Linked DNA regions of Caenorhabditis elegans. The protein of the gene in region 2 purifies or fractionates together with the protein of the main gene of each other region. This does not show direct contact. Each region holds a gene or a part of one and is shown on either strand. Other genes may lie near its edges.

What was found.
Region 1: the proteins of T14B4.3 (region 2) and Y73C8C.4 fractionate together in Caenorhabditis elegans (co-fractionation; one large-scale study listed by BioGRID). This does not show direct contact.
Region 3: the proteins of T14B4.3 (region 2) and Y47G6A.18 fractionate together in Caenorhabditis elegans (co-fractionation; one large-scale study listed by BioGRID). This does not show direct contact.

The regions. Positions count from the first base shown.
Region 1 is NC_003283.11:3,096,852-3,106,814, forward strand, and holds Y73C8C.4 (T20D4.11-like domain-containing protein), read right to left. Parts: upstream 5,299-9,963; coding exon 5,062-5,298; intron 5,012-5,061; coding exon 4,838-5,011; intron 4,430-4,837; coding exon 4,082-4,429; intron 3,473-4,081; coding exon 3,161-3,472; 3' UTR 3,067-3,160; downstream 1-3,066. Other genes in the region: str-66 (Seven TM Receptor), read right to left, coding at 6,277-6,335, 6,394-6,842, 6,896-7,383; str-69 (Seven TM Receptor), read right to left, coding at 7,939-8,009, 8,057-8,505, 8,569-9,059; str-68 (Seven TM Receptor), read right to left, coding at 9,377-9,453, 9,501-9,949.
Region 2 is NC_003280.10:6,730,838-6,739,519, reverse strand, and holds T14B4.3 (VWFA domain-containing protein), read right to left. Parts: upstream 4,584-8,682; 5' UTR 4,571-4,583; coding exon 4,534-4,570; intron 4,493-4,533; coding exon 4,361-4,492; intron 4,314-4,360; coding exon 3,691-4,313; intron 3,644-3,690; coding exon 3,545-3,643; 3' UTR 3,410-3,544; downstream 1-3,409. Other genes in the region: T14B4.1 (tRNA/rRNA methyltransferase SpoU type domain-containing protein), read right to left, coding at 1-278, 323-403, 453-780, 824-1,187, 1,243-1,791, 2,123-2,238, 2,282-2,409, 2,519-2,613; mrps-18.C (28S ribosomal protein S18c, mitochondrial), read right to left, coding at 2,799-2,909, 2,957-3,049, 3,101-3,316; T14B4.9 (Core-2/I-Branching enzyme), read left to right, coding at 5,737-5,922, 5,981-6,290, 6,338-6,444, 6,491-6,641, 6,688-6,830, 6,915-7,036.
Region 3 is NC_003279.8:3,505,290-3,517,562, reverse strand, and holds Y47G6A.18 (Golgi phosphoprotein 3 homolog sauron), read left to right. Parts: upstream 1-4,829; 5' UTR 4,830-4,903; coding exon 4,904-4,948; intron 4,949-6,115; coding exon 6,116-6,376; intron 6,377-6,842; coding exon 6,843-7,271; intron 7,272-7,743; coding exon 7,744-7,851; 3' UTR 7,852-7,863; intron 7,864-8,624; 3' UTR 8,625-9,165; downstream 9,166-12,273. Other genes in the region: pcaf-1 (histone acetyltransferase), read right to left, coding at 536-663, 718-838, 895-1,011; Y47G6A.7 (Sugar phosphate transporter domain-containing protein), read right to left, coding at 9,254-9,341, 11,323-11,506, 12,046-12,273.

The DNA.
Region 1 (9,963 bases), on a different chromosome or scaffold from region 2:
TTGCACATTAGCAGATAAACAGTTTTTTTTCAAATATCTGATTTTACGTGCTTGCTGGCTGGCCTAAATTAAACCCGGGGACTAGAAAACTCTAATTGTCAATTCAAAAAATGGCCTAACCAAAACCCGGACGAGGAAAGTTCTTGGCCGTGCTTGTGTTGCGATAAATTTTCCTATGGTAGTTAAAGGAACAATGTACGAGACTTTTGAAAAATAAATGAATATAAAAAAGCAGTAATCACAAATGCGGAATGCTTATTTTTCAAAACTATTTAAATTCAAATGCCTTCTGTTGAATTGGTGTTTTTTTGGTAATTGTCCCAATTGATATCGAAATTCGTCAAAATTCCATCTCCACACATGCCAGTCATGACGTATTGCATGCATTCCTTGTTTTTTAATTCTTCTGTATTTAGCTGTGGATTATGAAACCTACCATCAATGAAACACGGAAAACTATTCGCGTCTTCCCGAGGTTTTACTTCATTTAAGCAGAGATTGAAAGCGTCTTCATACATCACATTGCAAAGTTCGACGGTTTTGTTGGTGTGGTCTTCAGAAAAGTAAGAGGTCTCCATGCAGGTCTGAAAGGTTTTTTTGTGAAACTCGAATGGTTTCAAAATCCGGTTACGTTATTTTAGAAATGAATTTATTTCCAAAAATATAAGCTGAGATAAAAATAGTGTTGTAGTTGTACATATTATGTTTGAATTTGAACTGAATACAGGTTTTCGAAGAAATAAATTTTATCAATCAAAACAACATTTCGGCTTGGACCAGCGTTTCTTCTCAAAGGTTCGCCATGCTTCTGTGGTTTTTTCATGAGTCGTCAGTTCTATTGAGGACTTCATTTCGCTTTTCAAAACAATTATTTCTTCATTCATTTTGTCCTTCACAGGATCACACCGTTTTGATACCAATTCATGGAACAAAGAATCGTTTTTATGGCCGTGGTGTTTAGTGCTCATAATATCCACAAATCTTTCATATTGTGAATCTAGATATTCCAATGCTTCCTCGTCACATTTTATTCCTAAAGCAATTTCTTTAACACATTCTTTTCCACGGACGTATGCATTACGGCGATCTTCCGGATCTCTCTGAAAATGTTTGTTTCTTAATTTTATTGATTTTTTTTTTCAATTCTACGCAAATAAAACGTCAAAATTGTTTTCGATTGACCTCGAAATTGAGTGACGTCATTTTTGCGTTTTCCGGCATTACAAAAATTTTGAAAATGACATCATTAATTTGGGAGGTAATTCAAAAATAATTCCACCTTTTTAAATATTTTTATAGTTACTTTCAGTCATTACGGCCTATTTTCTATTATGCAAAACAAAAAAATCACGAATGAAAAACAATGACTGTTTTACCCTTAAAAAATCCAAGTGATAGATACAGTAGTTGCTTCTGCGGTAAAACACTTTGTACATTTTCGAAACACAATCCATCATTTCATAGTACGTGAATTCAATTCTCTCACATTGCCTTTCGTAAGTTTCTTTGTTTTTTTGAGCCTCGGTGCAATTGAATTGACCAAAACATGTCTGAAATGTAACATAAAACATAAATGAATACAAATATACAAAGAACCTACCGGTATCTTGTTGCAAGTTGTATTGATATTTTTTGCGATCTCTGATGTAACTTGAATGTTTGAATATTCATTCGTTAAATTCATCAAATTGTTCACATAAGGGGTGCACTTCGCATTTATCTCAGCTTTCTCACTTTGTGTGCAAACGTTTAAAGACGAATTCAATTTTGTGGACTTGGATTCGATATAGTTGAAACATGTGAACAATGGAATCACCCAGCAAATAGACAACCTCATGTCTAAATAATGAACCAAAACTGTTACATGGAAATATATTATACTCTCTGTAGTTTAATCTGAATGATCCACACTAATCCATATTTCATAGAAGTTCTTTCTGAACAATACATAACACATTTTTCCGGTGTCAAACGGCAAACGGGGCAAAGCGTGTAGGAAGGGGGAATCTATTTTTCTATTTTTTCGTCTGTCAATCTATTTTTCGTAAGTCAATCTATTTTTCGTCTGTCAATCTATTTTTCGTCTGTCATTCTATTTTTTTTTGTATGTCAATCTATTTTTCGTCTGTCAATCTATTTTCGTCTGTCAATCTATTTTTCGTCTGTCAATCTATTTTTCGTCTGTCAATCTATTTTTCGTCTGTCAATCTATTTTTCGTCTGCCAATCTATTTTTCGTCTGTCAATCTATTTTTTCGTCTGTCAATCTATTTTTCTTCTGTCAATCTATTTTTCGTCTGTCAATCTATTTTTCGTCTGTCAATCTATTTTTCGTCTGTCAATCTATTTTTCGTCTGCCAATCTATTTTCTTCGTCTGCCAATCTATTTTTCGTCGGTCAATCTATTTTTCGTCTGTCAATCTATTTTTCGTCTGCCAATCTATTTTTCGTCTGTCAATCTATTTTTTCGTCTGTCAATCTATTTTTTCGTCTGCCAATCTATTTTTCGTCTGTCAATCTATTTTTTCGTCTGCCAATCTATTTTTCGTCTGTGAATCTATTTTTTCGTCTGTTAATCTATTTTTTCGTCTGTCAATCTATTTTTTCGTCTGCCAATCTATTTCTCGTCTGCCAATCTATTTTTCGTCTGTCAATCTATTTTTCGTCTGTCAATCTATTTTTCGTCTGTCAATCTATTTTTTCGTCTTTTTTTTTTGTTTTTATTTTAATCTATTTGTTTAATTGCAAAAGGACAGCCGGCGAGCACGTGTCTCTTGTAAATTTCCTAAATTTCAAAAAATTCAAGTGTTTTATTTAAAATTTTGAGTAATGCGGAATTTGAATTGCCTTGAAGCATACTTATTTGGGATAAAAATAAAAAATAAGGTTATATATTTGGGTTGCAACATTTTTTTCAAAATATCCTGAGTAGTTAAAGAAAACAGTAAGTTCTATAAAATTTATATATGAAATCTTAATTCTCGAAATAGGTTTTTTTGAAATAACGTTAGAAAATGCAGTCCAAGTCTACAACAAGTTTTTTAGAAAACACGACACATTTTTAATCAGTCTAAATCTACCAGTGTACTAGACTTTCAAAAAATAAATAAATACAAAGATACGGTATTCAAAAATGTAGAATGTTTATTTTGCAAAATTATTTAAATTAAATTGCCTTCCGTTGAATTGGTGTTCTTTTGATAATTGTCCCAATTGATATCGAAATTCGTCAAAATTCCATCTCCACACATGCCAGTCATGACGTATTGTATGCATTCCTTGTTTTTTAGGAGTTCTGTATTATTCTGTGGATCATGAAATTTTTCATCAATGAAACACGGAAAAGTTTTCGCGTCTTCCCGGGTTCTTACTTCATTTAAGCAGAGATTGAATACGTCTTCATACATCACATTGCAAAGTTCGACGGTTTCGTTGGTGCGGTCTTCAGAAAAGTAAGAGCTTTTCATGCAGGTCTGAAACGTATTTATGTGAAATATTTTAGAAATGGATTTATCTTTACGCATACAAGTCGGGCAAATTTCAAATTTTAATTTTAGGTCATTTTTTGAGTCCCCATCTTTTAAAAAAAGTTTTCAGAAGGTTCCATTATGAAATTCGGAGTTTTCAAACAATTTCGACAACATTACAAGCAATAGTATGCCAGATAAGTTGTTTTATGAATTTATTTCTAAAACTCCCATTTTTGAATTATACTTATTTTAAACTGACGCAAAAATCAGCGAAAAATTGAAAATGCATGTTGCCAAACTTTAACTGGGCTCCCATGAGGTCGGCGCCTTCGCCTGCCTCAGCGGTCGCCGCGCCGGTTTCACCGCATCTACCACGCCACATGTATAGTGCGGCGAGGAACCGCGAACGTGTCGGCCGCTTCCAAATAACCACCTTTCGCACTTCGCTGCACACACACAGCGGCGCGCGACGTAGGCGTGAAGCCGGCTCGTGGCTCGCATTTTGCACTTCACTCAGCGGGAAGCCCTAAGCTAAACTATATTTTATCAATCAAAGCAACATTTCTAAAGGCATTATTGTCCCAACTATTTTGTTCTAACATTAAATCTAACCTTCAACTCATCACAGACTGACGTCGGCTTGGACCAGCGTTTCTTCTCAAAGGTTCGCCATGCTTCTGTGGTTTTTTCATGAGTCGTCAGTTCTATTGAGGACTTCATTTCGCTTTTCAAAACAATTATTTCTTCATTCATTTTGTCCTTCACAGGATCACACCGTTTTGATACCAACTCATGGAACAAAGAATGGCCGTGGTGTTTAGTACTCATAATATCCACAAATCTTTCGTAATATGAATCTAGATATTCCAATGCTTTTTTGTCGCATTTTGTTCTTAAAGCAATTCCTTTAACACATTCTTCTCCACTGACATATGATTTACGACGACTGTCCGGATCTTTCTGAAAATGTTTGTTTCTTAGTTTTACGGACTTTTTTTTTTCAAATTTTGCTAAAATAAAAATAAATTAAAGACTGAATCCTTTTGGAATGACCGCACAGTGATGTTGGAAGGTATTTCAAAAGTAATCCCGCCTTATAAAATGTTTTTTTAAAGTTGGAATAATTATTTTTAAAATATAATATTATTTTCAAAATTGGTTACCTATGTTATATTATGCAAAACAAAATACCTACTGATCACGTGGTGTCAGGTTGGCCCATAGCTTTACTGCACACAAAAGGCGGGAAAACATTTTTTTTAAATTTGTTTTTTCACATTAATCATCGATTCTCGTGGATTTTTTTGTAATTTTTCGATGAGGGCATGTAATACACAAGTACCGTTAATTAAATTTTACTTGTCTTACCGTCAAAAAATTTATGCCAAAGCTACAGAAGTAGTCTCCGCGGTAATACAATGCGTATATTTTCGAAACACAATCCATCATTTCATAATATGTGAATTCAATTTTTTCGCATTTTCTCTCGTAAGTTTCTTTGTTTTTTTGAGCTTCCGTGCAATTGAATTGACCAAAACATGTCTGGAATGTAACATAAAACATAAATGAATACAAATATACAAAGAACCTACCGGTATCTTGTTGCAAGTTGTATTGATATTTTTTGCGATCTCTGATGTAACTTGAATGTTTGAATATTCATTCGTTAAATTCATCAAATTGTTCACATAAGGGGTGCACTTCGCATTTATCTCAGCTTTCTCACTTTGTGTGCAAACGTTTAAAGACGAATTCAATTTTGTGGACTTGGATTCGATATAGTTGAAACATGTGAACAATGGAATCACCCAGCAAATAGACAACCTCATGTCTAAATAATGAACCAAAACTGTTACATGGAAATATATTATACTCTCTGTAGTTTAATCTGAATGATCCACACTAATCCATACTTCATCGAAAAGAGAGTGATCTGCCTATGTTCTTTCTGACCAAATAGTTACTTCACACATTTTTCCGTTGTCGGAATAACCACTTCTATGACGCCAAAATGATCAAATATCACAGTAAATTTTTTTCAAAAAACGTGAAGTTTTTTAGATGAACTTCAAGCGATTGAGATGGTCTCAAGAAGATACAAAACAAAAATATAATTCTCGTTAGACAGGTTTATGCAATATATGAGTTGAGAAAAAAATTACGTATGTACTTGTTTGCAAATGCTGTAAACTAGAAAAAGATCACAAAAAATCATGGTTTACGGAAAATTAATCGATGGAGTTTATCTGTAATAGTTATTGAATTTTTGTCAGAAAAATACGACAAATATTTATTACTCAAACTATAGTGATGCAGGCAACTATGAAGAGAATAGTTGATTTAAAAAAAGATGCAATAATCTTTAATATATAATATTTATTCTTCACCAGCACTTTTTTCATTAGAATTAGTTATGCCGCTTGTGGAATTATTGTTCTTCCGGTAGTTGTTCCATTTTCTATCAAAGTCCGTCAAAATTTCATCTCCACAATCCAACTTCAATAGAAGTACTTGAAATTGGGTTTTCTGTTCTATTAGTCATCATTAACTATTTTTTTTTGTTGTTAAATGCCCGTTTGAGGGGTGTATATTAGATCATAGTAAGTGTACCTAAACTAAACTCCCTTTTATTATGTTCCACATTTGATTAAGTAATCTTTATTCGATGTTACTCTAAATGTAATTAATTCATTATTTTACAGTTTTTATTTATGTATATCACGAATGTTAAGTGAATTTAATACATTTAAAGCATTTTGAATTCTTCCACTACCAATAAATTTGTGTTCTCCTCAAACTGGAGTTTCTCAAAGTGAATTTATCACGGAGACTTGTGCATTGTTCTTACAACACATTGATATTTTATCTGAAATAAAATTAATTTACCAGTAAACCGCCAAATTTACTAAACGTTTCAAACTAACTTTTAATAATATTTCTATACTCGGAAACAACTAGTGCGACTGAAATACAATCACACGGCGGATAAAATCCAACAAGCGAATACAGGTTCCCAGACTGCCAATCCACTTCAATTCCAACGATTGGTGCCAAAAATGGAGCTATCAAGATTGGCACGGCAGGTGTTATCAGAAACATTGTTGGTACTAACGCCTGTATGACAAGTGCAATGAAGTATTGCCGTTGTAAATTTTGGTTCTGGACAGAGAACTTTTCCAATTCCTTCTTCATGTTGAAATGCATTTTTAGACTGCAGAATATGATGATGGAGAAATGAAAATTGATGAGAGATGATGCGATCAAAAGGAATATTATACTAGTATGTATAACAGAGCCATCAGAATTATAAGGTGTTAATGAGAACCTAGCGAGTTCAGATACATTTAATCCATAATTCTCTGCTACAGAGTCTCTGGAAAATGCACTACTTGAAATTTGCCGAACGTTCAAGATGGTACTATTTACCTGACATATTCATCTGTATAATCATTAGGTGCACATAAATACTTTATAGTGCTAGCATAGCAAATTCCTGGTAGTAAAGGATACAACATCCATAAGCCGCCTTTGAATCCTTCAAAAAACCTGGTTTTTGAACTGTCAAATAAGCATAAATATCTGTATATGAACAGGACGGATATAAATGAGAAAGTTGTTAGATAAAAGCACGACCACACCGTTATGAAGGCATTGCTGATATTAATTGGTAATTGAAAATTGGTAGCGCTGAAGTACAATAGCGTACCATTGTAGTTGTGGGTGAATGGTTTTGAAATAGCTTCAAAGCCCGAAAACATGAGTCCCAGGGCAGCGAAGACAACGATCATTCGTTTATATGGTACTGATATGTTTTTAATATATTTAATTGTGATGAAGATGAAGAGGGAGTTCGCGATGCATCCAGAAAAGAATCCAAACGCTGTGAAAAAGCCAAATAACTTGAACATGAACATTACGAGCAGTTGTGATGTTCAAAAGAAGATATTAGGCGGGAGTATCTTACAGAAGAGGCATGTTTACGTCACGCGGATTTGAACATAATCAACATAGGGAAATTAGAGCACAGACTTCTAAACTATCATAACATAATCTATTGGAAAGAAATGTCTACCAACTTGATATATTTGCCCAATGCGATTTCGGTATAAAAATTGAAAGGAAATCAGAACAATTGGTGAACCGAGACCCGTGTTGTTTGGTATAGTCGACAAACCGAAATTATAACGCGTGCGTCTGAAACTAATACGACTAACCATGTTTTATGTTTTCTAGGTTGTCAGTAACTATATATAATTCCTGAACGACCCACAAAAAATAGGGTGTATTTTTTGAATGACGTCATAGACTCTGCTATACGCCTCTTACACAGTGAGAGCTCGTAATATAGATTTTAAAACTTTTGTAATAGTGGATTAAGATTTAAACTTTCAAGAAAAAGTTATCTAAAAGTGTATTTATTCAATTGAATTAGTTATACAATTTATTATTCTCGAAACATCAAATTCAGCTCAAAAAAGCACTGGCTGAGTAACTATTGCTGTTGAAACCACCGAAACCACCGAAACGCCGCACAATTTCTCTGAAACATTTGAATATCATGATATACATTATACTTCCGAAACTAACGTTTAACGATTGTTTTATATTCTGAAACAATTAACATAAATGCAATACTGTCAAATGGAGCATTAAAGCCAACAAGGGCAAATAAGTTGCCCGTCTGCCAGTCGACATCAATTTTGAGAATAGGCGAGAGCAACGGTGCGAAGAAAATTGGGATGGTCGGAATGATCAGAAAAATAGTTGGACCGATTATTTGTACGATGAGCGCTTTGAAAAATTGACGGTGAAGCGTCTGGTTTTTGACGGAAAACTTTGCCAGTTCTATTTTCATGGAGATGTGCATTTTGTAGCAGCACACTATAATGATAAAATAGTGAAAACTTATTGAAGAAATTCCTATGATCAAATATATAACTGTATTCCACCGTAAGGATCCATCGGCAGAAAATGCGATCATAGAGTATCTTGGCAACTTTGACACCTCGAGCCCGTAATTTTTACTTATTGTAGCTCTGAAAAATAAGATGAACTTGCAGATAACATGGTATAAGATTATTTTCAGAGAAGCCACTCACTGTACGTAACTATCGGAATATTCATCGGCTGCACACAGAAAATTCATGGAAATAGTGTAGAATGCCCCTGGCACTAAGGGATAAATTATCCAAAAAACAGTTTTGACGCCATCAAATTTTTTTGTTGCATTGTAGTTAGTCAAACAAAGATATCTATAGACAAATTGTACTGCTATAAATGCAACTACAATTATATAAAACGCGCTCCAAGATGACATTAATAAAGATACAAAAGTTTCAGGCAACTCGCTTGTACTGAAATATAGTAGAGAACCGTTATAGTTGTGAGAAAACGGTTTTGCGGTAATTTCTAATGCTGAAAATACAATTCCAAGCGTTGAAAAATAAATGACCATTCGTTTGTAGGTTCCGAACAAATTTTTCACGTAAAAAGCAGTGAGAAATATTAGAATGAGATTGGTAAAAGTGCTGGCAAAGAACTCAACAATTGTGAATACATGGGATAGTTCAAACAGTGTCAGAGCCGACATTTTCAAACTATGCAAGGAAGTGAAAAAGTAATAGTTATAGCCTGAAAGGCTTCTCAACACGATATAATAAATTAGCACTACTGTATGTGGACAGCGGAAATTGGAAAGTTCTGTTTTTGTATTCTCAGAAAAATATAAATTTTATGGTCGCAGACAATATAATATTAGACTTTATGGCGGATGCTTCACTAGTCTGAAAGGAAATTTTGAACTACTAAAATTCTTGGCATGCAATGAAAGAGCTAAAACTTTATTAACAAAACTATGTGCAAATAATGAAGTATTACATTATTACAGATTAATCAAATTTCGAGACTTTATGATTGCACATTCTGGGTGAAAGCTTCAACGGCGGACACTTGGTTGTCAGTTCCCAATCCACATAGCACGTGTTCTGAAACCACCTATTTTTCGACAATTTCAAACTGACTAATCACAAACTTTTAATCACTTTAACATACTCCTTGACAATGATCATAAAAGCAATACTATCAAATGGTGGGTAGAATCCAACAAATGCAAAAAGGTTCCCCGTTTGCAAGTCGATATCAAACCCAAACATTGGAGCCAGCAACGGGAGCACAAGAATTGGTGAGGCAGGTATCACTAGGAAAATGGTTGGTCCAAGGGTCTGCACGATGAGCGCGTGGAAGAATTGCCGCTGGAGCTTCTGGTTTTGAGTTGAGAACTTGGCGAGCTCCTTTTTCATGCTAAAATGCATTCTGAGACAGCAATATATGATGATAATGTAGTGAATTCCGATTAGGAAAATGCAAATCGGAAGGTAGACTAGACTTTTCCACCGTAACGATCCATCGGCAGCGTACGGAAGCATGGGGAATCTTGGTAGGTTTGAGATTTCCATAGAGTATCTTTCAGACACCAGCCCTCTGAAAATGTATAT
Region 2 (8,682 bases):
TTGATTCTTGAGCAATAACTGGATCACTTTGAGGGCCACTCAGAGCCACATGGAAAAATGATCGAAGAGCTGGAAGACTGTTCAGTGACTTTTTCTCCTCATTCACAATGCTTGCAGATGCTCGAATACAATCCAGAGCCAACTTGTGATCTGTACATTTCTTGATAAATCTTGCAATTAGTAGGCATAATTGTTGTTTAACTGGGAAAGCTGAAGCCACATCAAGTTGTTCCACACATTCAGAAAGAAATTGATTTTCGTCAACATCTTTTATAAATCTATAATTTTTTTAATCAGTTTCAATTTCAGAGCATCAACATACTTATTGAGCAGGGACAATCGAAGAGAATGAAGTGTTGCAGAAATCTGATTGAACTCCTTTGTTTCATATTCCTCTACCGATCTATAATTTAAAAAATATGATTTTCTTCGATTTCATTTTGAATACTTACTTTTTCATCCTTTTCATTCCGATAACTTCATTTCCTCCGAGATACTTGTAAAACTCAATTGCCAATGTTTCGTAGCGCTCTTCTGGAACATTTTCGACAAGAGCGTTGAAGAATGTGAGGCATACTGTAGCTGATTCGCATGTTTTCAAATCTCCTAATACTTGAACAACTGCTAGAGCAAATGGTATGCTCAGGTGGGAACAGTACTTATTGAAAAGTGGAATGTGAAGCGATTGTAGTAGCTCCAGCTCTCGTTTGGAACCTTTGTTTGATATAATCTGCGTGAGAATGTATTCACCTAGATCGTTTTTCATACATTCAAGAACATCTGAAAAAAAATCATAAATAATATTTATTTTAAACGAAATTACCACTACTGAAATCCATATTTTCCGGCCGTTCCTTGAGTAAAAACAATTGAGATGTCAAATCAGCAGTAGGCTTCTCTCCTAATAATTCAGAAACTTCTAATTGAAGTCTTGACAGCATTCTTTCCTTCTGAATGGTTGCTTTTCCCATTGAAATCCACCACATTTTTGCATGCAATCCTAAATTTTTGGAATCATTTCCAAAAGTTTGATGGAAAACATTTTCGTCCTGGTTTTCATTTGCAATGTATGATGTTTCATCGAGAATATTTTGAATTTCTTTGAACACGGCATCTATCATTATAGATGTGGCATCTTGTGAAATGTAGGATATTAGATTTGAAAGCTCGTGGAGAAGGGTTCCATCCTGAATAAAAGGTTAAGAACATTTTGAAATTTTCCAAAATATTAATAAAACTTACCAATCTCGTAATTTTTGCATAAAAAACTATCAAATTGCGAATCGTAATTATTCTTATCGACTTGTGTGGAATATATCTCGCTTTCAAAACAACTCTTCTCAATAATGGAACATCGTCAGAGTTCAGAATTTCAGTTTTGGCAATTGATCTGAGAGCGGATACAACAAAGAAAATTGCAGTCGGACAGGACATTAATTCAATAGAAACCAATAGATTTCGGATGAAATCTGGGGTTTCTCTGATTGAATTGAACATTGAACCAAGTTGAATCAGAAATGCATCCATTCGTCCTTTTTCCAAGTTTCTCCAGAAGACGTCATTATTATTGAGATTCGGTATGATGAGTGATGTAATCACATGATCATTATCCTTTAGAATCGATGCATCAATTGAAATACTTTTCTCAATCGCCCAAACTCGAATCCATCCATTTGTATGAAGCATAGCTCGGAATAAAGCAACTTTCAACCATTGGAAATTGAGTTTTCCATCACGAACCGAATTCAGAAGCGTGTCGAATCGAGGTAACACTGGACGAATGATGTGAAACTGTAAAAAAACCAATTGTAATTACATCGCAAACAAGCTTTCCGCCGAAAATGCGATACCAGGTCTCGACACGATAAGCGCCTTTAAAAAGTACTGTAATTTAAAACGTTTTGTTTCTGCGGAGTTTTCATCGATTTCGAAAAAAAGTTTCCCGTGATTTGCTTATAATTTATGTGTTTCTATTTGAGCTTTTTTTATTATCCAAAAACTATGCAATGCAAAATCGATAAAAAATTCCGCAGAAATGAGAGTTGGAAACTGCAGTACTTTTTCACACTTTTACTCATATGAAACATTTTTTTTTCGTATTTTTGCCGCGTTTGAGTGGTACCTGGGGCTCCTCAAGAGCTTCTACCAAAGTGTAAAAATCTGTCCATGCAGAACCAGAGCAAAATTCCTTCAGACATGCAATAACTGCTCGTCGAGACGGCCTTGAAGACTCGGCGTCTGTAATCAAAATATGTTTAATAATATTGATTGAATTGCAAACCTAATAACACATCAGCACAAATTCCTTCGAATTCCTTCTTTCTCGAATCCGTGATATCTTTGGCAGCTACAATGCACAGAGTTGGGAGGGCAATTTGAAATTCGTTTTGATCCACGATTCGAAGATACCTGGGATATAAATAGTTAATTTTAGGAGTAATCAGGCAGACCCGAGGTAAATAATTTTTGAAATATCGAAACAGTTAGGATATATAAAACATTTTTAATTCATGCTTACGCTAGAAAGTCAGCCACACTTTCATCTCCATCGACATTTTCAGCTCGTCGATTCCAATATGCGCGAATTTGAATTTCGCTCTCAGCATCGCCCATAATCTAAAAATAGTTGAATTTTAAGTAAAATAAAATTTTACTAATTAGTATCACCAGCGGTATTAAAGTGGGCAGGAGTATCCACTAACTTGATGACTATTCACAGAAACAGATTGTCTAGAGAAAATTTTATATTCTAAAAATAAAAACAAACAGTAATAGTAATTTTAAAAAAACAAAATATTTTAAGCAAACGAATGTGGTCGAATTGGTTTGAGCGGGTCGAACAATTTCGGGTCTCTGGTGTACTTTGGATCCTTTACGAAGATTGGCATGAACCCGGCACGACGCGATTTCTGAATAAAGAATATCGTTTATCTAACTCTATTCCAGTTCATCATACCGCGATTGCTTCAATCAGCTTCTTCTTGTTCTCGTCGCAAAGTCCAGTGATGTGACGATCGTATACACGCCCAGAGAATGTGGAAACAAATTGCTGAAAAAAAGAATTGGATTTTACCGAGCTCCAGTTTAAAACATTTCGTACCTGCAAAAGTCTCGAATTTTTGTAATCGAGTTCAACACCAGTTGAGCACAAGAGGCACTTCCGTGGCTCTTTTGTGTATGGATTATTCTCCAAAATTACGGGCTCATCGTCAGAGCTAACCGAAGGAGATCCCTGCGTGGTTGAACTGGAGCTACATAACCTGAATGTCTGCGGCCTTATGAAACTTCGCACCAACGATGACGCCGATTTTAGCATTCTGAATTGATACTGTTGGATTGCATTGATAAATTTAAAAATGAGATATCTTAAGGTTTAGAACCTGATACACTGATAGTGTTTCAAATGCATAAAGCTGAAGTCTTTATGACATGGCAACAAATACCGGAAAGCGATTAGTCAAAAATGCAAAAAAAAGAACCGTAAAGCCGTAAAGCGAAATAAATTATGAAAATACAGTTTTTACAATCATTTATAAATCTAATTCTAATCTTTCTTCTGTCTACCCATCGATAGTCGAACCAGGATCGTTTTCTTGGCCATATCACTTTCATCAAACATCAACCACAACATCGCAACTGCCGCCTGAAGTTAATTTTTTATTAGAAAGAATGAATTAACATGGGACTTACGAAGACAAGGGAGAATCCCACAAACATCATAATGGCCGCACTTGCCGGATAATCGATATATCTAGCTTGAGTCACTTGCAATACTTTTTGTAACAGCTTAATTCTAGCCTTCTCATCTCTATCAGGCTTCTCGTGAGTATAGATTTCAGCCACCACATTCCCGCCATAACTGTTCTTGATAGCATCTTGTAATGTATCAATACCTCGCTTGATATTTTCTGCCAATTGTTTTCTTTCCATATCTGTTCGCGCATTGGAGACGTCAAGGTGAACACGGTAGTAGTCAACAACATTGGCATTTTTTCGATCTTTCTCCATGATTGCATCCGAAAGTCGATACATATTTTGAAGATCCTCCTTATAAGTATCGTAATTAGCATGGTTTCCCTCAGTATTTCTTTTAAACAACGATGATCCAAATATTCCAGAGGAGTTTACTTCGGCGTGAATCATATCATCACCAAACTGTTGTTTGAAATGTTCTTGAATTTGATTTGGCTGGAATTTATCCGTAAAATTGAAAGCATGTCCGTCATAATCAAAGTTTTCCAGTCCGTCAATAACGATTATCAACAACGCCTTCGGTTTTTGGAACAATTTTTCATCGCCGATCGCCTGATGAGCTGAAATAAGGCAATAAAACATTTTATATTAATAAAATGTTACCTACCTCCAACTGCAGCACCAAGTCCAAAAGCATTCTTGTTGAAATTTAATAATGAAACTGAATCGAAAGACGAATTTCTCGAATCAAGTATGTGGTCGTTTGGCAAAATGATTTGAAGACGCCCGGCAAGGCAAACTGAAATTGAAGTTTTTTGCAAAAAATAAATAAGAAATTACCTTGTAAAAATGATAAAATCCATATAAAACTTCGCATTTTTGGCTTGAAAAGAAGCAAAAATGAGAAATAAAAAACTCACAATTTTTCTGTAACAATGGAGCGCGTTTGCTTTTCTCGTTGAGACACCACAAACCAAGAGAACTTGAAACTCCGTGGAAGTTGATTTCATCAGCATTGGTTACTGTATTTTTTTGCCAAAACTTTTATTGATAAAGTTTTCATCTATGTATACAAAAATATTAAAGGCAGATATTTATTGGGTTTTGAAGAAAACTGTCAAATTTTTTGGTTCCGCGCGCAGAAATGATAATGAAATTGAATTTTGAAGTATATTTTTGCTTAAAAAATTAATACATATCTTTTTTTAATTTTATTCACTGATTGTGATAAAAATAACTTGTAGCAATGAATATTTTCCTTCAAAACGAACATGCAATAAATTTCCTTCACTTGCTTGTTGATAAAAAGGGTGGGTCAATCCAATATGATAGGGTTATCTTCTCAGTTTGTTCCGGTACAAATTGTTATCCAATCAAACTATATTGTCTGTTGAACCTATTGCACAATTGATGCGGCTATTGAAAAGGTGACTTTTTGAAAAAAATTGAATTAAACGGAGGGAAGTAAAATCTTAGATAAATATAAGGATGAATACCTTTTAGTTTCCTTATTAAGAATTACCAGTTTTATAGTTCAAGGCTATTCGATTTACTGGTAACTACCAATTTGATAGATAGATAAAAGATGAGAAGATTCAAAACTATTTCCTCGATTCTAAATATTACAAATAGATTTATGAAAAATGTAACTTTAAACAAGGAATAATGCCTTCACAAATAGGAAAATGAGAGCAATTTTTTATTTTTTCCAGAATTCAAAAACGGTAATTGTTTAGTTTGTTTTCTGCAATGCGAAGGTATCCATTTAAACAAATTACCATCTGTAAATATGACTGTACTTTTCTCGATCAAACAACAAAAAAAAACAATTTTAACAAACAAAAATAAATATTTGAATACTAATTTATAACCCTCAAGAACCCTCAACTTTTGAAGATCAAAAAAAGAAAGTGTGAGACCCAAGTGGATGTAAATGTTTTGAAATGAATGAAATGTTTGGATTCTTTCCAATGTCTGCTCTGGTTCTTCATTCTTTCTCTTTTCATTTCCATCTGTCATCCATTCTTTTCCGTTTTCTCCAAAATGTGCTCCAAATACTCCAGGACCTTCTTCTTCTTATTACTCACAATGCTTGTTTGTACAATTGTGATCTTTTCAATGGCACCTAGAATAACAATGAGTTTTTGGACTTCAAAGGAAACTAATATATTATGGAGACGCAAAGAGACAGCTCATTTGGATTGTGGAAGAATTTTGGCAAATGATAGAGTTAGTAATTTTAAATATTTAAATGTTTAAAAAATAACCCAAAAACATAAAATTTCAGTCTTATATCGAAAAGTTTATTGGTGAGCATCGAATACCCCTGAGCTCAAATTTGGAGAGTTTAGATATGTCATGTTATTCAATTCAAAATCGAATTATTCCATTCAATTTTCATTTGAGGCCGTTGAAAATTGGTGTTGTATTTGCACGAGTTGTCTATAAAGACTATGAATTTTTGGAGAAACAAGTACAAATGTCATATCATCCACAGAATATATTTTGCTTTTTCATTGATTCAAAAAGCAAAGATGATTTTAAATGGAGAATTAGGAGACTTGGTAGATGTCTTCCAAATGTATTTGTAATAGATGGTATACTGATTGAATATATGTATAATTTAAATTAACTAGAGTTTCAGAAGAACTTCGAATAGATTCAGCGGGTCATAATATGAATTTAGCACACTACAAATGCATGGAGAAGATGGTAAAATTACCGGATTGGGATTATTTTATACTGATGCAAGTGGGGAAAACTTTTATTAATAATTGTAAAAATGCAATGTTTTTAGAATCATGACGTCGTTGGAAAATCAGTTTATGAAATATCTAGAATATTTGAGATTCTTGATGGTGCCAACGATATTGATATTGACAAGGAATTCGGGAGAATAGATGAAAGTTTGAAGTGGGATTTGAAAACGTTGAGATTATTTCGAGATGGTTTGTTTTACAGGAGTCTCTACACTCCTGAATTAAGATATTTCAGAGTCTGCTCTCAACTCTACGTACTTGAACAGTACGTTACGAGTTTCCAAAGGATCAGTGCAAGGATCATTGTCGAGAGCAGCAGTAGAATGGATGGTGAAGACAGTAAATCCAAGAGTGTATCTAGATCAATGGAATGAAGGGGTAACAGAATATAATGTTATTTGAGTTGGTTCTAAAATAAATTCAATATCTTTCAAATAGAGAAATTGCAAACTAATTATTCAGGCGTACGGAGTTGATGAACAATGGATATCAACATTTCAAGCCAATGATTTCCTTGGTATGCCCGGACATTTTTCTGATATATGCTTGAATGAAACAGGAAACAAGACAGATTTTATCACAAGGTTTGAGCTGTTCTCATTCACTCTAAAACTAGTTTCAACTGCTTTTTCATTACCTATTAGTTTAACATTTGTTCGAGAACTTTGACCAATGGAAGTGTAGGGAAAGCAGTGAGACTCTAGGTGTACATCATGCCCAGCGGACCATATAACTTCCTAAATTCGCTAAATTACTTATCTTGAAACGTCGAATCATGGAAAATACACATCTAAAAAACAAATATTCAACTAACAAAATGATTAGAAATATTATTTCTTTCTTTTGAACTACCTTTCATTACAAAATATCCAATATTTGTTGAGTTACATAGAGTTAAAGTCATTTTACGAAAATTCACTTAAATTTTTGAGAACCGTTATGTTCTACCAGTCATACCTTGACATCCATTGAATTAAAAAATAAATTATTTGTTGAATTGTATCATAAAAATATTTCTACGCATTTTATCAGTTTTAAGTTGTTTCATATTTTCATGTTTAGCCAAGTTACAGACCGTTTTCTGAAAAATCCAATTTTCCTCATAAAACTCTTCATACCCAACGCAGAAACTTGAAATTTGGACGAAACATCGTACTTTTTGGTGCTCTATCAGGTTTCATCAAAAAAATTTTGAAAAATCTACACATCTCCAAAATCGTCCTCCGCTCCGAAAAATGAAATCGGATGTTTGCCTTTCGGAAAATGACCAAAAAATGAAATTGCGATATTGAGTTCAAAAAAAAAGTTTTTAGAATGCTGAGAACACGTTATTTACGAATTTCATGTTCATTTTTCATGATTTCTTCTTTGAAGTGACCTAAAATTAATACATGAACCTATTTTCATTCTCACGCTTAACAGCAACTGGGAAGTCAATCAGTTTTTGCTTTTAGGCAATTAAAAAATGTCACGTGAGAATGAAAATAGGTTCATGTTTTAATTTTAGGTCACTTCAAAGAAGAAATCATGAAAAATGAACATGAAATTCGTAAATAACGTGTTCTCAGCATTCTAAAAACATTTTTTTTGAGCCCAATAGCTCAATTTCATTTTTTGGTCATTTTCCGAAAGGCAAACATCCGATTTCATTTTTCGGAGCGGAGGACGATTTTGGAGATGTGCAGATTTTTCAAAATTTTTTTGATGGGCCCTGATAGAGCACCAAAAAGTACGATGTTTCGTCCAAATTTCAAGTTTCTAGGTTGGATATGAAGAGTTTTTTGGGGAAAATTGGATTTTTTCAGAAAACGGTCTGCAACTTGGCTGAACATGAAAATATCAAAAAAGTTTAAACTGATCAAATGTGTAGAAACATTTTCATGTTATTATTCAACAAATGATTTCTTCTTAAACTCAATAGATGTTAAGTAATGACTGATAGAACAGAACGGTTCTCAAAATTGAGGTGAATTTTCGTAAAATGACTTCGACTCTATGTAACTCCACAAATAATTGGCATTGTGCAATAAAAAATAATTCAAAAGCCAGAAAAAATATTTTTGATCATTTTGTTAGTTGAACATTTGTTTTTTAGAAATGTATTTTCCAAGATACGGGAGTTTAAAGATATACAGTTTAGCGAGTTTTGGAAGATATTTGGCTTTGGATTGCATTTTCTCCTGGCAGATTATATTTTAATGAGGGATAATTTAGAATGTGTCTAGTTATG
Region 3 (12,273 bases), on a different chromosome or scaffold from region 2:
CGTTATTCGACTGATTTTCTTCATTTTCTATGTTTTTTCCTCGGAAAATGAAAGAAATAAACAAGTCAAATGCAGAATGTTTGTTAAAAAGTAATTGAAAATGAGTAAAACTGTGAAATATACTAATTTCAGGCTTGTTGCCGTCGGAACTCAGAATATCAGTTTTACGCATTTTCAATTAGTTTTTAACAAAAATGTTGCATTTGTCTTGTTTATTTCTTCCATTTTCCGAGGAAAAAACATAGAAAATGAAGAAAATCAGTCAAATAACGAGAATAAATAAAATTAATAAATAAAAATAATGCAAGCACGCTCCAACGAACAAATTCAATTGGCGGAAATTCAAAAATAATTAGGTGAAAACTGCGATTTTTCCAATTTTCAAAAAATCATATAAAATCTAGAAAAATTTTTTGAATTTTTTTATCATGAAATATTCGGCCAATGTGGCCCCATAGGCGTGTTTTAAAGCAATTTACCCACTGAGCGTAGTCCACCTTTAAATTTAAAATTAAAATTTTTAATTCAAAATAACCTGAAGAGATTCATGAGAAGGATCGATTTCTGAAAGTTCAGAGCAACAGGTTTGAAGGTCGGAAATTTGATCCGTATACGTGTCCAGATCCTCTTGTGACAAATATTTTAGTGGCTCCGCATGAAAAGCTGCAAATTTTTAAGGTTTAAATTGAGTTTTAATGAGATTTTCAGCCAATTTACATATAGAATGACCACACGTTCGGCATTCGATTATCTCCTCGCTTCCCAAAGTTTCCAGATCCCTAGTCATCGGTGCAAAATCATTTTCTCTTTCTGCTCGTGTTGCTCGCCGTTCGACAGTCTGAAAAAGCAGAAAAATTGGTTTTATCGGGGAAAAAATTCAGATTAAACACCAACCTCATCTTCGTGATTCAAAACAGGCCGGAAACCACGGCATTGGCATGTTCCGGCGTTGCAAGACGTGAAATATGTTAATTGTCGTCGTTTTTCATCCAGAGAGTCGCGTTGTTTCATTTTTTTTTATTTCGTTGGTTTTCAGTAGAAATTGAAATTAGAAAAAAATTGGAATAAAAACAGTTTTTTTGAATGCAAAATGTGTGCAAACACCATCACGGTAGAATGCACAGAAACGCATTCGCGCTCTACCGCACAATTTGATGTGGATTTTTGATTTATTTTTTTTTCTTCTTTTTTCAGATTTAAATATTTCTAAGCTGAAAATCTCAAATTTCCTTTGTTTTTTTTTCAATGTTTTATGTTTTCTGTTTGAAAAATTAAAAATCACCCTTATAAAAGTTAATTTAAGGTTCTTTAGCACTATCTTTGCTTTTTTTGGCAGTTTCTTTCAATATTTCGATTTGGCTTTGCTTTTCCTTTTTTCTGAATTCCAGACACTTGCGATAACGTTAGCTTGAAGTCGTTTTAGAAAAATCTTTTTTTTTTAATTTTAAAAAATTGCAACTATTTCCGATTCTTTGTAGAAAACACCTGACGAATTGAGATTGTATCGCCAATTTTTTTTTGTTATTTGCATTCCTCTTCCGATTGCGCTAATCTGACCAGGTTGCTTGCACTTTCTCCGTTAACATCTGTTTTCCAATTTTATTGAATTCTTATAGAATCTGTTTTTCTTCTCTATAAGCAGTCTGTACAGTTTACTTTGGAAAAAAATCGATTTTTGTTTGGATTGTCGTCTAAAACTTGAAATCCTCAATAAAATTTGCGTGAAAATAAGAAATTTTGTTTGAAAATGCCGACTTTGAAGTGCTTTGCACAGTTTTTCAAGCATCATTGAGAAGTTGGAAAAAATTTTTTAATAATAAAAATCGAGGATTTTTCGCCATATTTTTTCTTTCGAAACCCTGCAGGTATGTTGTTCTACCTACAACAAGTCCCCCTTTTTCTTTCCTATCAAAGAAAAAAGCCTAAAAATCAAAATTTTCAAATATAAGTACTGTGAGACCGAGATGTTTGCCTTTTTAGATAAGAATAACGAAACGTCATACATTTAATATTGTGACTCGCAACACAATAACTTTATGGATTTTATGAAAAAAATATATATAGTAAGCCGGAATCCACAGAAAAAATTGCAAAAAAAGTGAAAAGTCCAAAAAAAAGCCTCCAAAATGAGAACGCCCTGAACAATCAGCGCCTTCGAGCTGCTCTGATTGGTCCAAAAGTGGGCGAATTGTAAAATAACTTAGAGTTTGTGGGTATTTTGGTTAAATAGACTAAAACTGGTCCAAAACCACCGAAATCCTTAATGAGACTTCACAAAAAATTTCCAAAAATTTTTTATGGCCGGTCAAAATTTCGAAAAAAAAGAGCCAAATTTTGCTAAAATCTGAAATTTCGCACATTTTTCTTTGTCACAGCCGCTGGATTTTAGTTTTTCTGAAATTATCATCCTTTAATCCTTCTTTTGGTAATTTATCTCGCGGAAATTCGTTGATTGAGACAACTTTTAGGCCGATAGGCATCCAATTTTTATCATTTTTGGATGCCTATAGGTCTAAAAATTGTCTCAATCAACCAATTTCCGCGAGATAATCTACCAAAATAAGGATTAAAGGATGATAATTTCAGAAAAAACTAAAGTCCAGCGGCTGTGACAAAGAAAAGCCAGCGAAATTTCAGATTTTAGCAAAATTTGACTCTTTTTTTTTTCGAAATTTTGACCCGCCATAAAAGTTGTTTGAAAATTTTTTGTGAAGTCTCATTATGAAATTCGGTAATTTTAGACCAGTTTTAGTCTATTTAAACAAAATACTCACAAACTCTACTCCCCCTTTAGAAGTTGGATTTTTCATTCTTTTCGTTTTTCTTTTAAAGTTTTGCTAAATTTGAGACTATTTCAGATTTTTTGAATCTTTTTAAAAATATTCCGGCTACTTCACCTTTGAATAACGAGATAACTAGAAGCCAAAATCACATTATTCTATTATTTCACTCAGAACGTTCACTTCTTTATGCGCACAGAAAATTCACGGCAAAGTATGTCGCCGTCGTCCGTCCGTCCGCTTCGTCACCATCCTTCTCTCTCCTCCGGCGGTCTCCATCATCCGGCTCGTCCCTTCTGTGTCTCTGTGGTCTCTTCACTCTCTCTGTCCCCAACGCCACGTTTCTTCTCTCGCGTCTCTCCACACTTCTCGCCTCTCCTGGTATTTTCAATCGAAACGCTCTTCTCCCGATACTAGCTTTCGCCCGTGCGTCGCTGTCGATTCATTACATTTATTCCAATGATTTGATGTTTTTTGAATCTACAAGAAATTAAATTTTCGAGCTTTTCCGAGTAATCTCTCGAGTTCCAATCAATTATCACCCCTGCTCTTCCTTCTTCCATTTTCCATGATAAAGCTTCACAGCAACGCCCTCTGATAAGCATCTATAAACTGTACAAACCTTTTTTTAAGTACCCAGTTCTCCAGTATTAATATAATTTTGGCTGTTTTTTTTTGTGGAAATGTTGGTGGCAGTTAAAGCTTTGGAGAGCAGCCCCAGAAAAAAGCTGACCAAACAATGGCTCTTTCCCTGCTCACATGGAAAAGCTTGCTCGCTTGTGATGTAATATTTCGTTTTTAGGCGATAACAACTGTTTTATAATTTCCCTTCCGAAATTGTTGTATTAGTTGGAGTTTGCCGACCAGTAATTCTGTAAAATACACCTTTCCTTAGATTTTTTCTTAAAATTTATTGTCTGAAAATTGTTTTTATTTGGCTTGAAACATTAGGAAAAACGTTCGAAAAATGCCTGAAAGTTGGAGACTGCTAGAAACAAATTTCGGCAATTTTCAACTTTCAGACAATTTTTGAAAGTTTTTCCAAATTTTTCGCGTAAAATGAACGCATTTCATCGGATATTTTCCTTTAAGTTTTGTGATACAATGTAGAAAAACATTTTATTTATCTGGAAATAGCCTTTCATAAAAAAATTTCACAATTTCCCAAAAAATTTTCCAAATTTTCCAAATGTTTCGAGCAAAATAAAAGGCTATTTCCAGACAAATAAAATGTTTTTCTACATTTTATCACTAAATTTAAAGGGAAATATCCGATAAAATGCGTTCATTTTACTTGAAACCTTTGGAAAAACTTTCTGAAAGTTGAAAATTGCCTATTTTTCCGGCATTTTTCAACGTTCATGCAATTTTTGAGCTTTTTTTCAATTGTTCCAACTGATATGAAAACTATTTCCAGATGAAGCAAATTTTTATATTTCGATATTAGACTCATACAATTAAAAAAAAAATTTATTTTCTGTAAAACCTCCATAATTTTGAATATTAGTGCTGAAAATTTACTAAATCGGCAATAAATCGGTTAAAAAATATTTCTGAAACACTGAAATTTTTATTTAAATAACGATTAAAGCTCTTCGCGGCTGCCTTTCCGGAGACTAAAAAAATTGAATTTCGATTAAATCCAGTTTAAACTTCTAAAAATCGAATATCAAGCTAGATACTCATAATTTATTCCCAAAAAACACCCATTTACACCTCTTCCTCTTCCACTCCATCCGGTTTTGCGCATCATCTTCATTTGTCTCAAAAGTTTATCACTGCCAACGATCTTTTCATCTGCTGGAGGCTCCACTTTCAGACTGGTTCTTCTAGATTTAATCTACAACACAGCTTATGCTTCTCTCACTAGCCGATTTTGAATGTTTTTGGCAATTGCTAATAGGGAGAAGCAAAATGCATGGAATCTTGATTTGGAAACGAATTTTGAAATTCAACATTTAATTTACCCGAAATTTGCAACTTTTTAACGTGAAACCGAATTTTTTGAGCGAAATTTTTGTCAAATTGAAGAAATTATTGCCATTTCAGAAGTTGAGGAACGACTCGCCCAGTTAGTTGCCGACGTGTTTTTTGGATAGAATTTAATACTGTAATAATCGGATATGTCGGACGGTCAGCTGGTCCAGAGACGCAGAAAGGCTGAAGAGGTAGGATGATTTTACAGAGTTCAATGGAAAAACACGAGAGATAAAAAAAACTGAAAAAGATGAAATTTTCAACTTAAATTACCTCTGTGTAATGTTTAAATTAAACGATTAATCCGTGAATTTTGCAGAAACAGCGTCGCACGGAAAAATAAGCGGAGCTTAATTTCGCAACCCTGCGGCGCGGTTTTTTCAATTTTTCAAACAAAAAAATTCGATTGAAAATATTATCGAATTTAGTTCTCATAAGACTATGAGGATATTTTTGGTTGTAAAAACATTTTTCTTCAGGAAAAGTAAGATAAAACGAACAAAATTAAAAAAAAAACCGTGCCGCAGTGTTGCGAAATTACGCTCCGCCTCTTTTTCTGTGCGACGATGTTTTTGCAAAAAAGAGTTTTCAAGAAAAAACTAATTAAAAATCAATAAAATTTCCAGCCAGTCACTGAAAAGTTGAAATTTTCAACTCAAATTTCCTCTGTGTACTGTTAAAATTAAACGATTAATCGGAAAAAGAGGTGGAGCTTAATTTCGCAACCCTGCGGCGCGGTTTTCCTGTTTTCGTATATTTTTCACGCTTTTTTTTTCAATTTTTTCAAACAAATAAATTCGAATGAAAATATTATAGAATTTTTTCCGAATAAATAGAATAAGCAAAATCGAAAAAAACCGTTCCGCAGCAGGGGTGTGCGGCAAATCTCAAAATTTGCCGAGCTCGGCAAATTCGGCAAATTTGCCGTGCTTAACAAACTCGGAAAAATTATATATTTTTTGATATTTTTTGGAGCACCAAAACTACTGAATTCTTAACACACCTCTGGTTTCTGAACAAGTTAGGTGTAGTGTGTCTGCTTAAACATCAAAATAACTCAATTTGTTATCATTTTACTAAATTTTTGGCGAAAAAATCAACAGTTTTAGTCAAAATTGTACTGTCAAATTTTTGACGTGTGCGGCAAATTTCGAAATTTGCCGAGCTCGGCAAATTCGGCAAATCTACTTTTTTGAAATTTGCCGTGCTCGGCAAATTCGGCAAATTTGCCGCACACCCCTGTTCCGCAGTGTTGCTAAATTACGCCCCGCCTCTTATTCTGTGCGGCGATGTTTTTTTCTGCAAAATTCACAGAATGATATTTCAGTTAACTAATTCAAAATCAATCCAATTTTCAGCCAGTCACCGAAAAAGTCGACGAAGCGAGCGGCGATTCAGCACAATCTTCGGATCAAGAAGACAATGACAAGGGAACCCGATTGACTTTGATGGAGCAAATCCTGTTGCTCGGCCTTAAAGACCGTGAAGGTTACACATCGTTTTGGAATGATTGCATTTCGTCGGGGCTCCGAGGATGTGTGCTCATCGAGCTTGTGCTCCGTGGACGAATTCAACTCGAGGGAGGCGGAATGAGACGCAAGAATTTGCTTAATAGAAAGGTAGTTTCAGATATAAATATTGATTACGGGAGCACAGGCTTCTGAGAATGCGTATTGTGCAACATATTTGACGCGCAAAATATCTCGTAGCGAAAACTACAGTAATTCTTTAATTCTGTTACTGTAGCGCTTGTGTCGATTTACGGGATCTCGATTTTCGAAATTTGTTATAGCTTTTTTCGAATATTGACAACAATATTCTATTTTCCTTTTTATTTTAAAGTCGAGCCCGTAAATCGACACAAGAGCTACAGTAGTCATTTAAAGAATTACTGTAGTTTTCGCTACGAGATATTTTGCGCGTCAAATATGTTGTGCAATACGCATTCTCAGAATTTTGTGGTCGCGTAATATCAATAAGAACCATCTTATCCGCCGAAAAGAAATTTTTCGAATTCAATTGAAAAAGAAAGTTTTATAGTATTATATTTCGTCCCGTGCATCGCACAAACAAACAATATTACAGGTGACTGTGAAAAGCAGCGAGCCAACTGGTGACGTCATTCTCGACGAGGCACTTCGCCATATGAAGGAGACAAACCCGCCGGAGACAGTGACCAGCTGGATTGAATATTTGTCTGGAGAAACGTGGAATCCGCTGAAACTTCGCTACCAACTGAGAAATGTTCGTGAACGACTCGCCAAGAATCTTGTTGAAAAGGGTGTTCTGACGACTGATAAGCAAAATTTCTTGCTTTTTGAAATTACGACGCATCCACTTTCGGACGGAAATCAGAAGACGAAATTGATTAAAGAAGTGCAAGAAGCGGTTCTGGGGAAATGGACGAATGATGTTCATCGTATGGATAAGAAAATGCTCTCGTTGATTGTATTGGCTCATGCTAGTGATGTTCTTGAAAATGCGTTTGCACCGCTTTCTGATCAAGATTATGAGGTAAAACAAATGCTGGAAATCCTGTTTTTTTCTGGAAAATTGGCGCATTTTGAGCCAAAAAATGTGCCTCTTTGAAGATAACTGTAATTTTAAAAATTTTTTTGCTTTAGAATTTTCATCAATTTGTTTCAATTTTTTTTTAAATTATCACATTTTTCCTTTTAAGTTTTTATTGAAAATTATTTTTAATAGAAAACTAAATTCGGAAGCAACGAATATTTATAACTACAGTACTCTTTGGCAAAGATGTGTCGTGTCGAGACCACTACTGTATTTTTAGAACAAAAATCACGAAATTTCGATTCTGTATAATATTGAGAACGATTGAAATTAAATTATTTGCAGAAAAAATTGCAAAAAAAGTTGTATGAAATCAAATTTTGCAAACGCGCTCCATTGAGCTTCCCAGGGCTTAATTGAAATGCTGACATTTCTCGCCAATTTTCAGAAAAATCAATTATAAAAATTCCAGGTTGCAATGAAACGAGTGCGTAGTCTGCTCGATCTTGATTACGACCAGCAAGCCGAAAAGAAGGGAAACGACGTGATGTGGGCTGTTTTTGAGGCGTTCAGCAAGTAGAATCCACAACCAGTGAGTCGGGAAAAAATTGAGCTTTTTTTTTGTCTTTGTGCACTTCAGCTTTAGCAGATTTTTTTTGAGCTAAGCGCTGAAAACGTGAAGTACTAACAGAGCAGGGGCGGCAAACGATTATTTCCGGCAAATCGGCAAATTGCCGAGATATTTTTTCGGCAAATTGTGGTTTTGCACTTTTTTTGTTGGAAGTTAAATTTTATCGGCGAAAAACGGGAAAAAAATTCCAAAAACGCACCGTTTTAAGAGTTTCCGTCTTTAAAAAAATTCCTCAAAACATTTCCGGCAAATCTGATATCCGGCAAACTCGGCAAACTGGTAAATTGTCAGAATTGAAAATTTCCGGCAAACCGGCAATTTTCCGGAATTGAAAATTTCTGGAAAAAAGCCATTTGGCGATTTTTCCGAAAAAAAAACATTTCTGGCAAAACTGGTAAGCGGCAATCTGGCAAATTGTCAGAATTGAAAATTTCGGCAACCAATTTGCCGAAAATAAAAATTTCCGGCAAACCGGCAAATCGCCAGATTTGAAAATTTCTGGCTAATCGGCAAACCGGCAATTTGCCGATTTTGCCAAAATCATTTCCGGCAAATCGGCAAACCGGCCAACTGGCAAAGTGCCAGAATTGAAAATTCCGGCAACCATTTTGCCGAAAATAAAAATTTCCGGCAAATCGGCAAACCGGCAATTGCCGCCCACCCCTGCGACAGAGATCATTTTACTTTCAAAAAATTTTAATATAAAAAATATTTGTTTCCAGGTCACCAATGCGTGTACGTGCAATCTGTAATCAAGTCTAAACCGGTACCATCAATTCTCTTCCCTCCCGCGTATTTATTGTATGTGCTCTTTCTCTTCCATCTGTTTCCATAGCTTTTCGTCTCTCGATTTCCTATTTCTTCCTAACATACACCATATTCTATTCTATTCCAATCAATGTGTGATACCATATACCGTTTCTTTTTTCTTTTTTTTTTTTGGGATTTCTTTGTTTCTTCTCTATGTTTTTTGTACATAAGCGGGAAATGCTCTCTTCATGTTTTTTTTTCTTTCTTTTTTTGGGATCAACGCTTTCTGCAGGTTAATGGTCGCTTGTGTGTTTCCTCTTCCTGAAATTTCCCTTTTTTTCTCGAAAATTCGTTTTTAAATATGTATTGGTTTTCTGTGATAAATTCTCATCCATCCCCCTTTTCTTTTTTCATGACCAGCAGTAGTAATGATTTAGATTTGTTTTCCTTCATCATCCTAAATTACACATATAGTAGATGTATTGAAAAAAATTGATAAAAATTTATCGTGGGACCCGAGATGAGACAAATGAACAGAACAACCAAGAGAAAATGGAAAGAATTGATTAAGAGAAAAAAAAACGAAAATTATTAACTTATTTTAAGCGTCTGGATCTTCTGTTGCGAGCAACTTTCGAGAATCGTCACTTCTTGTGGACGTTGAGGAAGTTGGAAGAGGGCGATGGGCTCTGGAATTTTTGAAAAAAATATTGAAAATTTAGGTTTTTTCTTTTGTTGGGTAAACACGGAATGCACAACGATTACCGTGATTAGGAGAAGACGGGAAACAGACAAAAATTTGAATTTGGCGGGATTTGAAAACGTGCTCTATTGAGAATCCTGGGGAGGCTCAATGGAGCGCGCTTGCAACACGGTTTCGACAAGAAAATATGATTTTCGATAGAGCGCGTTTGCAAACAACTACTTTTCGATGTTTCTGAATAATTTCTTTTTTAATAGCGTATTTTGTACAGAAAAAGGATAACTCTTCAATTTTATCGATTTTTTACAAATTATCGATAAAAATGAAGTTGATTGGTTCTTGGATCTTAATCGATTAAAAAACGAAAAAAAAAAAGTTTTTCTGCGAAGTTTTATCGAATTTTCTGTTGTCTACTATGCGTATTGCGCAACGTATTTGACGCGCAAAATATCTCGTAGCGAAAACTACAGTAATTCTTTAAATGACTACTGTAGCTCTTGTGTCCATTTACGGGCTTGGCTTCTTAAACGAATTTCTGTTCGAATAGTGACATCAAATTTTTTATCGATTATGTAATAAAGAAGGCTTTCCGTAAATCGACACAAGCGCTACAGTAGTTATTTGAAGAATTACTGTAGTTTTCGCTACAAGATATTTTGCGCGTCAAATATGTTGCGCAATACGCATTCTCAGAATTCAGTGTCCCCTTAATAAGCCCGCTCTATTGAAAATTTAAAATTATTGATTAAATCAAGCTTTCGTGCCGTGGCAGTGAGAATTGTTTGTGTAATTAGAACTAAATTAATTTCTAAAAACTGAAAATTTTCCTGTTGCTCATTCAATGCCATTCAGTTAACCATCACTTCACAAACCGACACTACGATGCTCCGATATGCCGCCTGTGCCCTTGGCGGGATAAATGAGCATCGTTGAAACTATTCTATAAATTCGACAATAGGCGATAGAATCAGAAGGGAAAAGAAGCAGACAAAGGACAAAAACAGAAGGAAACGACAATTTTACATTTACGTCTTGTTTCTTACGTTGGAAATTATAATCAAACTGTTTTCGAAAGAAGCGAGTACTGATGGTCAGTGTCGGCAGATATACGACTCAGCCTGTACAGATAGAGTTAAGTATGCAGGAAGATAAAAAATAATGGGTCTTGACACGAAAATAAAAAGCTTAAAAATCGATAATTCGAGGCGATCTTACGCTTTTCCAGATTTGAGCGTAAGATGTCTAAGTATTACTGGATCACAAAATTCTGAGAATGCGTATTGTACAACATATTTGACGCTCAAAATATCTCGTAGCGAAAACGTCAGTACTTCTTTAAATGACTACTGTAGCTCTTGTGGCGATTTACGGGATCTCGGAGTTTCTTTTCAAATATTCTAGTCATTTAAAGAATTCCTGTAGTTTTCGCTACGAGATATTTTGCGCGTCAAATATGTTTTGCAATACGCATTCTCAAAATTTTGTGTTCCCATAATACGGTGGAAACCGAAATTTTGGGAGAAGTGAATTCACGAGAATCATGCGCCGAAAATCTTTGTCTAAATAAATCTTTTCATGAAAACTTTCATTAAAAACCTTTTTTCCCGGTTTTTACTAAAATTAATTTTTAAAAAATTTAATAGGGGAAAAATGTGCGGCGCACTTGCAAAACCTTTTTAAAAATTAGGCTCCACCTCTTTGCAAAGAAATTTTGCAATGCCGCTGCACGCTTTTTTCCAGTCATTTTTAAGTTTAATTTTTGCTTTTTTTTTTGTCCATTTCGGTGGAAACCATGAAGGAAAACTTGGAAATGGCAAAATTTTGAACAAAAAAAATCAAAAGAAAAAAGTGTGCGTCGTACTTGCAAAAAAGGAGGAGCCTATTTTCAAATTCACCCGAAATTTCGGTTCCCCTGAATCCAAGTATCCAATCCGAAACTAATTCACAATTCGAATATTCTGTCTTACCTCTGATGTCGTTTGTTCATTCCGTGTAAAAGCATTCCAGACAAACAAAGAACTAAACCACAAATATTCAGTTCCGTTAGTGTGTCCTTGTTCACGATATGTGCCAATAAGAGTGTCGCAACTTCTTTCACAATTCCGAAAATGTTTAGCGTGATTCCAGAAGTGTTCACGAGAAGCAGGTATTCTGGAAAAAAAAGGGGTATTAGAAAAAAATCCAATTTCATTTCAGGCGGCGTGGACCGCGACGCAACACGCTTCGCACAAGGTAGGCGGATGTTTTGCGCCAAAATCTAGGTTCGACCAAAATAATTGAAAACGTTTGAATTCCATTTTGATAAAACTCTCCATCAAAATACCCCTGGGCTGAAATTTTTGGAGAAATGACAAATTTACATGGGTTTATTACGGGAACACAATATTTTGAGAATGCGTATTGCGCATCATATTTGACGCGCAAAATATCTCGTAGCGAAAACTACAGTAATTCTTTGAATGACTACTGTAGTGCTTGTCGATTTACGGGATCTCGATTCTTGAAATGAATTAAAGTAATTTATTTATCGATTGAATATTAAAATTTAGCAAAAAATGAAAATCGACCTACAGTAGCCATTTAAAGAATTACTGTAGTTTTCGCTACGAGATATTTTGCGCGTCAAATATGTTGTGCAATACGCATTCTCAGAATTCTCAAAATGGAATATAAAAACATTCACAACTCACCACTCATTTCCATACAGAACGCCAGCAATCCTCCTCCGGCAATTAATCCCATCACAAGCCAAGGATCATAATGTCCCTTGAATGAAAACACGGAATTCCAATTGATCTCAGCTCCTTCGAACAACCAAATCATCGGAATAATTGGAATCATCATCCATGGCTGTACATGTGCAACCATATCCAATGGATGTCTCACTGCCGAGTCATCTCTTTGCATTACCATCTGAG